2 linked regions of the Sus scrofa genome follow. The protein of the gene in region 1 purifies or fractionates together with the protein of each later gene. This does not show direct contact. Links are inferred from orthologs where the notes say so. Each region holds a gene or a part of one and is shown on either strand. Other genes may lie near its edges.

Region 1 (4,350 bases):
CCACGACGGGAACTCCAAAACTTAGTATTTTAATCATACAATTTGGTAGCACCAGGTACATTCACATTATTTTGCAGTTATCACCACCATCCATTTCCAGAACTTTTTTCTCCTGTCAAACTGAACTTCATAGCCATTAAACAATAATTCCTCATTCCCCTTCCCCAGCCCCTGGCACCCACCCTTTTACTTTTGGTCTCTACATATTTGACTGCCCTAGGGACTTCATGTAAGTGGAATCACACAGTATTTGTCCTTTTGTGTATCGTTTATTCTATTTAGCATAAGGCCCTCAAGGTTTGTCCACATTGTAACAGGTGTCAGGATTTCGTTCCTTTTTAAGGCTGTGATTTTTTTTTTAAGAGCAGAATCTGTGACATATGGAAGTTCCGAGACCAGGGGTTGAATCGGAGCTACAGCTGCAGACCTACACCAGAGCTCACAGCAACACAGGATCTTTAACCCACTGAGCGAGGCCAGGGATTGCACCTGAGTCCTCAGGGCTACTAGTCGCGTTCATTACCACTGAGCCATGAGGGGAACTCCTGTGATTGGATTTAAAAAAAAAAAGTTCTTCTGGCAGCTATGGCAAAACAATGGGGCATGGGAGCTGGGGAGAGTGGAGGCCTGGTGGGGGAACTGCCATCCCAATGGGAGTGATGGTGGTGGCTGGGCAGTGGGGGAGGAAAGCAGAGGCACAGTGTCATTTGGAGCAGCACAGGCAGAAGCAGGTTTGTCCATGTATTCGTCCACAGGCACCTGCTTTGCCAGTTGAGGAAGCACTGGTGGGGAAGGTTCCCGCGAGAGTCAGACCAGGTTTGAGGTCCTTGGCTTGGGTGTTCACCAGCTAGTGGCCTCGGGCAGCATCTGATCGTTCAGCGCCTCCTTCACCTCCCTTGTGGGATGCAGAGGACAGAAGGACGCAGCCCGTGAGGAAGCCCTCGGTGGGGGCCCCCACCCAAAGCAGTGTCTTCAGAGCTGAGACGTGGGCTCTGCAGGGCTTGAGAGGCGACCGTTGGGGCTGGCCGGGGGCAGACTCAGAGCTCTGTCTTCTGTCAGGAGATGGGTGTGGGCCGCCAGCTGCGATCAGCCCCCAATATCCCCGGCCCGCCCTCCTCCGAGGTTGCACCAGCTCTTTTTAACACGGCGCGGAAAACGCACGGCCCGTAGCAGAGCGGGCGAGAACTTCTGAAAGGGCGGGTTTGGTGGCGCAAGGCGGGCTTTCCCGCGGGAAGGCTGGACGGCACGGACGCACGCGGACCGGCAGGAAGCTGAGTGTAGCCGAGCGGCAACCGGTAGGGGGCAGGCCGGGCGGAGGGGCCCGGAGACCTCTGCTCGCCGACCCCTGCCGGGCGCAAGGCGCGCGCCGGACGCGGTGGGGCCCGGAAACGCGCCGCCTGGAGCGCAGGTATCGCGCGGCCCGCGGGCGCGGCGTGGGGAGGGCGGCGCGGGGAGGGCGCTCCCCCGCCCGGACCCGCCCCGAGCGGCGGGGGCCGCGCCTGCGCCGTGCGACGCGGTCCCCTGCCGACCCAGCTGGCAGCCGAAGTGGCGGCAGAGCCCTCCTCCAGGGGCCAGGAAGTGGGGTCCCGTCCCCAGGACCCCCCTCCCGCTCCTGGCTCCTACCCAGGGCCCCGGTCAACCCGGCCCTTGCCTGGGCACCGCCCCCACGTGGTGGATGTGTGCCGGGCGCTCCGGTCAAAACCGAGGAACGGGAAGGTTGGAGGTGGGGCTGGACCCAGGGCTCTGCGCCCAGAGGCTGAGGAAGAGGGATGGGGGCTGGTTAGGATCTGACCCCTCTAGGAGGCCCTTGTCTAAGTTTCCAGGTTGGGGCAGGAAGCCTCACTTCTCCCCCTCCCTCAAGCACATCCCCGGCCCCTGTGCACACGGAGGTCTGAGCCTGGCCCTGTACCCCAGCGACTGCCGCCGGCTGCTGCCTGCTGCCGTCCCAGCCCTGGACAGGCCCATTCCCCGCCCCATTTCAGCAATGATCTGTCCAGCCTAGGCTCCCGGCTCAAGGCCAGAATCCCTCCAGCCAGAATCCCCTCTTCTCTGGCTGGGAGAAGGCCCAGCTCCCTCCTACCCATCCCCCCCCCCACAGCCTCCCTGGGTCCTGCCTGCGCAGGCCTGCCTGGCGAGCTGGGACATGTCTGGCCCCCGAGGACAACCGGTTTGCGATGGCTGCAGTGGTGGAGGGCAGGAGCCAGAGCCGTCTGCTGCAGAAGATGCTGCAAGAGATGCTACGGATGCTGTGGCCGTGGGGCCGGGGACGCTCCCTCTCCTGGCCGGGAACCGGCTGAGCCTGGACCTGTACCCCAGGGGCTGCCACCGGCTGCTGCACCTGTGTGCCCAGCAGGTCCCTCAGCTCCTGGAGGTGGAGTTCCTGCAGCTGAGTGGCCACGAAGACCCTCGGCTGCTGGAGGCCACCCTGGCCCAGCTGCCCTCGAGCCTGCCTCACCTCCGCTCCTTGGTTGTCAAAGGTGAGCCGCACCCGGTGTCAGCTCTGTCACAGCCCCATCTCTGGCTCCTGCCTCTGCATCTCAGTCCCCAAAGGCAAACCGGGTCCCAGCCCCGTCACTGTTCTCTGCATGGCTCTACCCACCCTTTCTCTTCCAGCTGCTCCTAGACCCAGCAGCTGCCTAGTGGGGGGTCTCCGGCCGGTCCCAGGGTGGGTATTTTTCCTGGGGCAGGTCATGGGTGACGGCTGTCAGCTGAGATGAGCCCGCCTTGTCTGTTCCTGCCTCCTCCATCTGCTGGTGTCTCTCTAGCATCTAGGTTTGTCTGTCCCTGTCTTGGCGGACTCGGGATGGAGGGCTGCGTGTCCGTGCACCTGTTGCCCTGGGTGATGGGGCTGAGATGGGCCCCAGGGCCCCTGGCTCTGAGGGCCGTGTCTGCCTTTCCCCGTCCCAGGCGGGCAACATCGGGACGCTCAGGGCGCCTGCCTCCGCGGCTCCCTGGCCACGCTGCCTGCTGGCCTGAATGGCCTAGTCCGCTTGGCCCACCTGGATCTGAGCTTCAACAGCCTGGAGACGTTGCCGGCCTGTGTCCCGCAGATGTGTGGCCTGGGGGCCCTTCTGCTCTCTCATAACTGCCTCTCAGAGCTGCCTGAGGCCTTGGGGGCCCTCTGCGCCCTCACCTTCCTCGCTGTAACCCACAACCGCCTGCAAACGCTGCCCACGGCCCTGGGGTCCCTGTCCACCCTGCAGCGCCTCGACCTCTCTGAGAACCTTCTAGACACTCTGCCCCCTGAGATTGGAGGCCTGAGCAGCCTTGCTGAGCTCAATCTGGCCTCCAACCGGCTGCAGAGCCTCCCTGCCTCCCTTGGTGAGTTGTAGCCTCCGTTCCCTGGGCCTATGGAGAGTGCCCATCGGCTGTTGCAGGCCTGCTCTCTCCTGACGCCCCTTTCTGCTCCGCGGGGCCCTGCGCACGCGGGCTTGCCAACTCCCGGCCCTTGCTTGCCCCCCACTTCCCGGCCTTCGAGGCTCCCAGCGCCGGCCTGCCGAGCCTGCTAGTCCTGCCGCAGGGCAGGGACTGAAAGGGCTTCTGCAGGAGGCCCCGGCATGCGCGGCCTGGCCTGGCGCTCCGGCCCCGACCCTCCTCCGCGGCCCTAAGCCGGTGCCTGTCCGCAGCGGGGCTGCGCTCCTTGCAGCTCCTTGTCCTGCACAGCAACCTCCTGGCTTCAGTGCCTGCTGGCCTGGCCCGCCTCCCGCTGCTCACCCGCCTGGACCTGAGGGACAACCAGCTCCGGGACGTGCCACCCGAGCTGCTCGACGCCCCCTTTGTGCGCCTGCAAGGAAATCCTCTGAGTGGGAGCCCCCCCACCCCCCGCAGTCCCCCAGGTAGGCCCGTTGGTGGGGAGGGGGCCCACCACAGACAGAATGCGGGTGTCATCACTGTCCTGACGGGTGGTCTGTCTTTCCACAGGGACACCCGTGGTCCCCAAAATGCCCAGTCTGTTGTTGAGCTCAGACCTGGACAGGTAATGATGTGGGGGATACGTGGGGCTGAAGAAGCATCCGTCCAGCCTGTCACCCTGTCCATGCTGTATGCCTGGCTCACGCCTTGAAGGCCTCCTAGAGCTGCCACACTCAGACGTCCGAGCCCCTTCCCGTCTGACCCGATGCCCACCCCGTCTTCCCGCAGCTTTGCCGTGACCCCCCTGGGCTGCTCGGTGACCCTGACCTGCGGTGTCCGCCTGCGTTTCCCTGCTGGTGCCACCGCGACTCCTGTTACCGTCCGCTATCGGCTGTGGCTGCCGGAGCCACGCCTTGTCCCCCTAGGTCCCCACGACTCTCTGCTCAGTGGCGTCCTGGAGCTGCAGCCCCACGGGGTGGCCTTCCAGCAGGCAGGAGC
Region 2 (4,536 bases), on another chromosome or scaffold:
CCCACATAACAGCTCACAGCAACGCTGGATCCTTAACCCACTGAGCAAGGGTAGGGACCGAACCCGCAACCTCATGGTTCCTAGTCGGATTCCTTAACCACTGCGCCATGATGGGAACTCTAGGCATGTTTTAAAAATAGGTAGTTTTATATGGGTTTTTTTAGTTGGTGGTGTTAATAATTGTTTCAGCCTTATCATATGTTTGAAAATTATCAAATTTTACAGTTGGAAAAAATAATTTTTTTTCCTCCCCCCAAAGTCAGTAACCTCAGCTATTGGCATTGTCAGAAGAACTCTGCATTTTATCTGGAATGTTGCTAACACCTGTCCATAAACAGAAGGAGACTCTCTGAGAAAAGAACAGCAAAAGAACAAAAGAAGAAGAGGAGAGTGGAGACAATACCTGTTACTCAAGAGTATCAAGAGTAGAGGTGGCACCAATTATTTACTAGCATTTTTCTGTCATTAGAAGAGCAGACTTTTCACCATACAGGGATGTGAGATGTTCTCTATACTGGAAAGAGCATGAAATCAGACGGAGCGAATGAACTCAGGTTTTGCTATTTGTTAGCTGTGAGGTTTTGGTTAAGACACCTGACCACTTTGATTCCACAGTCCTCACATATGTAAAATGCTAATTATACTACTTTTCACCCAATGTAAAAATAGTGTCACTGGCATAGTAAAATGGCATATTGGTATAGTAACACTTTAAAGTGGTTACAAAAATTAGAACGTTTCAAAGAGGTTTAGAATTGCTTTCCATTTCTGATTCAGTTTGCCGATGTTTACTAGTCATTCTTCCATGTTCAGATCTTCAGTCTTTCTAATAATCGTGAAAGTCCTCAATGCCTCATGACAAATGCCTTTCTGTCCAGAACAGCTCGCGGATTGCTTTAATGAATTCCTACCTGATTGACTTGTAAACTCTTTGTGGGCAGACCCTTGTGATATAAAGGAATGACTGCAATTAGTGGGGGGTAGGGGTTGGGGATGGACTGGGAAACATGATAAACGAATGATTAAGTAAAAATTTTAGTAAGATGGTGATATGTGCTTCAGATAAAATGAAGCTGTAAGAGGGATGGGGAGGGCAGAAGGTGAATATTGCAATTTTAAAAGGCATGGTTGAGGAAGCTGCAATTTTATTTTATTTATTTTTTTAATTGTCTTTTTGCTTTTTCTGGGGCTGCTCCCTCGGCATATGTTGGTTCCCAGGCTAAGGGTGTAATCGGAGCTGTAGCCACCGTCCTAAGCCACAGCCAGAGTCACGCGGGATCCCAGCCGCCTCTGCGACCTACACCACAGGTCAGGGCAACGCCGGATCCTTAACCCGCTGAGCGAGGCCAGAGATCGAACCCTCAACCTCATGGTTCCCAGTCGGATTCCTTAGCCACTGCGCCACTACAGGAACTCCAGGAAGTTGCAAATTTAAATAAGAGTGATCAAGGAAGGTCTCCCTGATAAGGTAACTTTCGAAACCTGACTATCTATTACGTCAATTGAGTACAAAGCCCTGGTGGAGTTACTGTGTTAAAATACAATTATCCAGTGACTCCTTTCCTAAGCGAAGGTACGTTTTCCATCTCCAGAAGGTTTCAGTATTTACCCACAGCAAACATGGCGGAAAAGGCTTCATCCGAACACACTCGGGCCACCAATAAAGAGGGCCACAGCGCTTCCTGTGTTTGCCCTTAACAAAGATGGCTACAACACTTCCTGTTCAGGGCTCTTGCCTTCAACAAAGATGGTGCCCATGGTACAGGTTCCCTGACTGTCTGGATTCCGGTTGCAGTTTGTTCTGTTTTGTTTTTAAAGATACGTGTTTGCAGACGTAAGTAACAGGAAACCAGAACCCCCGTATCCATCTTTTCTCAAAGACCCCGCGTCGTGGCATCTGCAGCCTGGGCCCTGCAAGCCCCCCCACCGTCCCGCCCCGTGACTTGCTCGCGGCGTCCCCGAGCCCGCGGGGTCGGGGTGACGGGGTGACGCTCTCCCCTCGGGCTCCCCTGCAGACCATTCCCAGCACTCCCTTTTTAGTGGGTCAGGTTGCCTAGAAAATCTTTCGTAGTTCTTCCTGTTGTTAATGCCACAGAGCTTGAGCTGGCAGGGCAAGGAATAAAACGAAGTCCCAAACGAGTAGGAGTTGCCCAAAGTGCACACCGCCCTGCTTACCTGCCGCCCCTCGGGGTCGCCCGCTGTGGTGGTACTTTCTGTGGGTGTTGTGAAGCCCCGTCGGCCGCCCCGGCCTCCCCTCTCCGCCACTTACTCTCCTGGCTGGCCCTCTGTTCACTGCTGCAGTGGTCTTGGAAGCAAGCCATCAATGGCCTGTGGACATTTTTTTTTTTCTTTTAAAGGAAACAAACACACCCATTAAATATCCCATGCATGTGTGGCCGTGGCAGTGTTGTGATGGAGGTTTGGAATTCTTCCAGGGAAGGGCTGGAGTCTGTGATTAGGTGTAAGGTTTACTGTAGACTGGGCAGGAATGTTTAATGTTTTCCTTGAAGGCCTTTTCTCTTGGTGAAAAAGATTCTTAAACGTATGGTACCCCCACAGGTTTCTGGCCTCACCCCCACTGCGGATCAGGTTCGGCACATGCCCTGGGTCTAAAGGATACCCACATGGATATCAGCAGTTTCTGCCGTGATGGGGTTATCTCTGATGAAGGCAATGTTAAAATAAAAAGCACTGTTTCTTCTCAAGCATGCTAAAATGAAATGCTCCTCTGTTATCCTCAGAAAAAAATTGCTTTTAAAGTAGGGTCTCTGATCCACTTTTTTTCCCAATCTCTTTATGGAACAAGACTGGAGCTAGGACCTCACTATGTAGAGAGCAAAAACAAAGGGCATGATTCATGCTCAGGGCTGTTCATCACGTTCAGGAACATTGGAAATTAATTCAGCTCGGCTTAACAGCTGCGTATGAAACACCGTGGCCTGGCACTCTGCTAATTTTCAGAGACGTCCTTGACCTTAAGGAGTTTGCATTGTAAGAGCCTTTTTAGGGGCTCATCAGGCATCCCGTGATCTGAGCTACCTTTTGTCTTTTCCCAGGGGCACATGGAGGCTAGAGACAAGCAAGTCCTTCGCTCCCTTCGCCTGGAGCTGGGTGCAGAGGTGCTGGTAGAGGGGCTGGTTCTCCAGTATCTTTACCAGGAAGGGATCTTGACGGAAAACCACGTTCAAGAAATTAAAGCTCAAGCTACAGGCCTTCGGAAAACAATGCTGCTGCTGGATATCCTACCTTCCAGGGGTCCTAAAGCATTCGATGTATTCCTAGATTCCCTGCAGGAATTCCCTTGGGTAAGGGAGAAGCTGGAGAAGGCAAGAGAAGAAGCCATAGTTGAGCTGCCTGCAGGTAGGCCTCAAAATGATCCCTCCAGACCAGCTCCCAAAGTGTTGGAATTGTGCCCTTTGGATGTGAAGTTGGGGTTTTAGGCTGCCTGGGCGTTGGCCTGTCCTGAAAATGGGTACGGAGTTTGTGCTGAAGGCACCTGGCGTTGGTGGGACCAGATGAGGAGGTGGAGCTAGGACGTGCAGCGGGGGAAGGCGCAATGGGCCATGGCTGGGAGGGTGAGGCGGGAACGCAGCGGATAGTTTAGAAATGCTTCCAGGGAAAGTTGGCAGGTCCCTTGGGAGGCATGTTCTCCTCTGAGAGCCAGGTCATGTCTCAGCCCTTGGCATCAGGAGCCATTTGGAAAGTGCAGATGGGAAAGTAGGCTTCAGGCGTCCTGATAACTGATGTGTGGGGTGCCAGAGGGGTGCCAGAGCGGCGGGCCGGAAAAGGTCAGACTCATGAAGGAGGAGACAGCGTCTAGGAAGGCACGCCTTGCACCTGCTCCATGGCCCACCCTGCGTGGCCAAAGGGGATTATTTGGAAGGCTGGCTTTGTTTGTTTTTAAAGGCTGTTGATTTAAAGTCTTCCTTTCAGGTGGGCTTTGTTTGGACACCTGGAGTGTTTAATTTGGTGTGGACAGTGCTTTGGGGGAGGGATGGCTCCTTTTGATTTGAAGGAACGTTGGAAGCTATGAAAAAGAGAAACCGTCCTAGGGTTATCAGCCTGGCTTGTGTCGGAAGGAGATGTGATAGGAAACACTTGTTCCCTCTTAACACCTCTCATGCTTTCTACTTTTTACGGAGATTGAGGAGCAGAAAACTGAACTGGCCAAAAAAAAAAAAAAAAATTTACTTGCTTTTTTTTTTTTTTTTTTTTTTGTCATTTTTAGGGCCGCACCCGTGGCATATGGAGATTCCCAGGCTAGGGGTCGAATCGGAGCTGTGGCCACTGGCCTATGCCACAGCCACAACAACGCCAATCTTTAACCCACTGAGCAAGGCCAGGGATCGAACCTGTGTCCTCATGAATGCTAGTCAGCTTCATTTCCGCTGAGCCACGATGGGAACTCCTACTTGCTTATTTTTAATAGAGTTAGAAATTGACATTCTCAGTTTCTTTCTTTTTTTTTAATGACAATGATAGTTAGAACTACCCTAAGTCGAAGTCCGCAAGGATTTGTTGTTGCCGTTTTTAAAA

The links.
Region 2: the proteins of PIDD1 (region 1) and CRADD purify together in Homo sapiens (affinity purification with western blotting; 8 studies listed by BioGRID and IntAct, with this or other methods). This does not show direct contact. The link is inferred for Sus scrofa from reciprocal best matches to the Homo sapiens genes PIDD1 and CRADD.

Annotation. Positions count from the first base shown.
Region 1 is NC_010444.4:502,029-506,378, reverse strand, and holds the start of PIDD1 (p53-induced death domain-containing protein 1), read left to right. Parts: upstream 1-1,483; 5' UTR 1,484-1,675; coding exon 1,676-1,723; intron 1,724-2,098; coding exon 2,099-2,477; intron 2,478-2,765; exon of another isoform or gene 2,766-2,772; intron 2,773-2,907; coding exon 2,908-3,321; intron 3,322-3,626; coding exon 3,627-3,836; intron 3,837-3,921; coding exon 3,922-3,976; intron 3,977-4,140; coding exon 4,141-4,342; intron 4,343-4,350. UniProt on the Homo sapiens protein: Component of the DNA damage/stress response pathway that functions downstream of p53/TP53 and can either promote cell survival or apoptosis.
Region 2 is NC_010447.5:89,477,312-89,481,847, reverse strand, and holds the start of CRADD (death domain-containing protein CRADD), read left to right. Parts: upstream 1-1,442; 5' UTR 1,443-1,834; intron 1,835-2,175; exon of another isoform or gene 2,176-2,424; intron 2,425-3,056; 5' UTR 3,057-3,062; coding exon 3,063-3,360; intron 3,361-4,536. UniProt on the Homo sapiens protein: Adapter protein that associates with PIDD1 and the caspase CASP2 to form the PIDDosome, a complex that activates CASP2 and triggers apoptosis.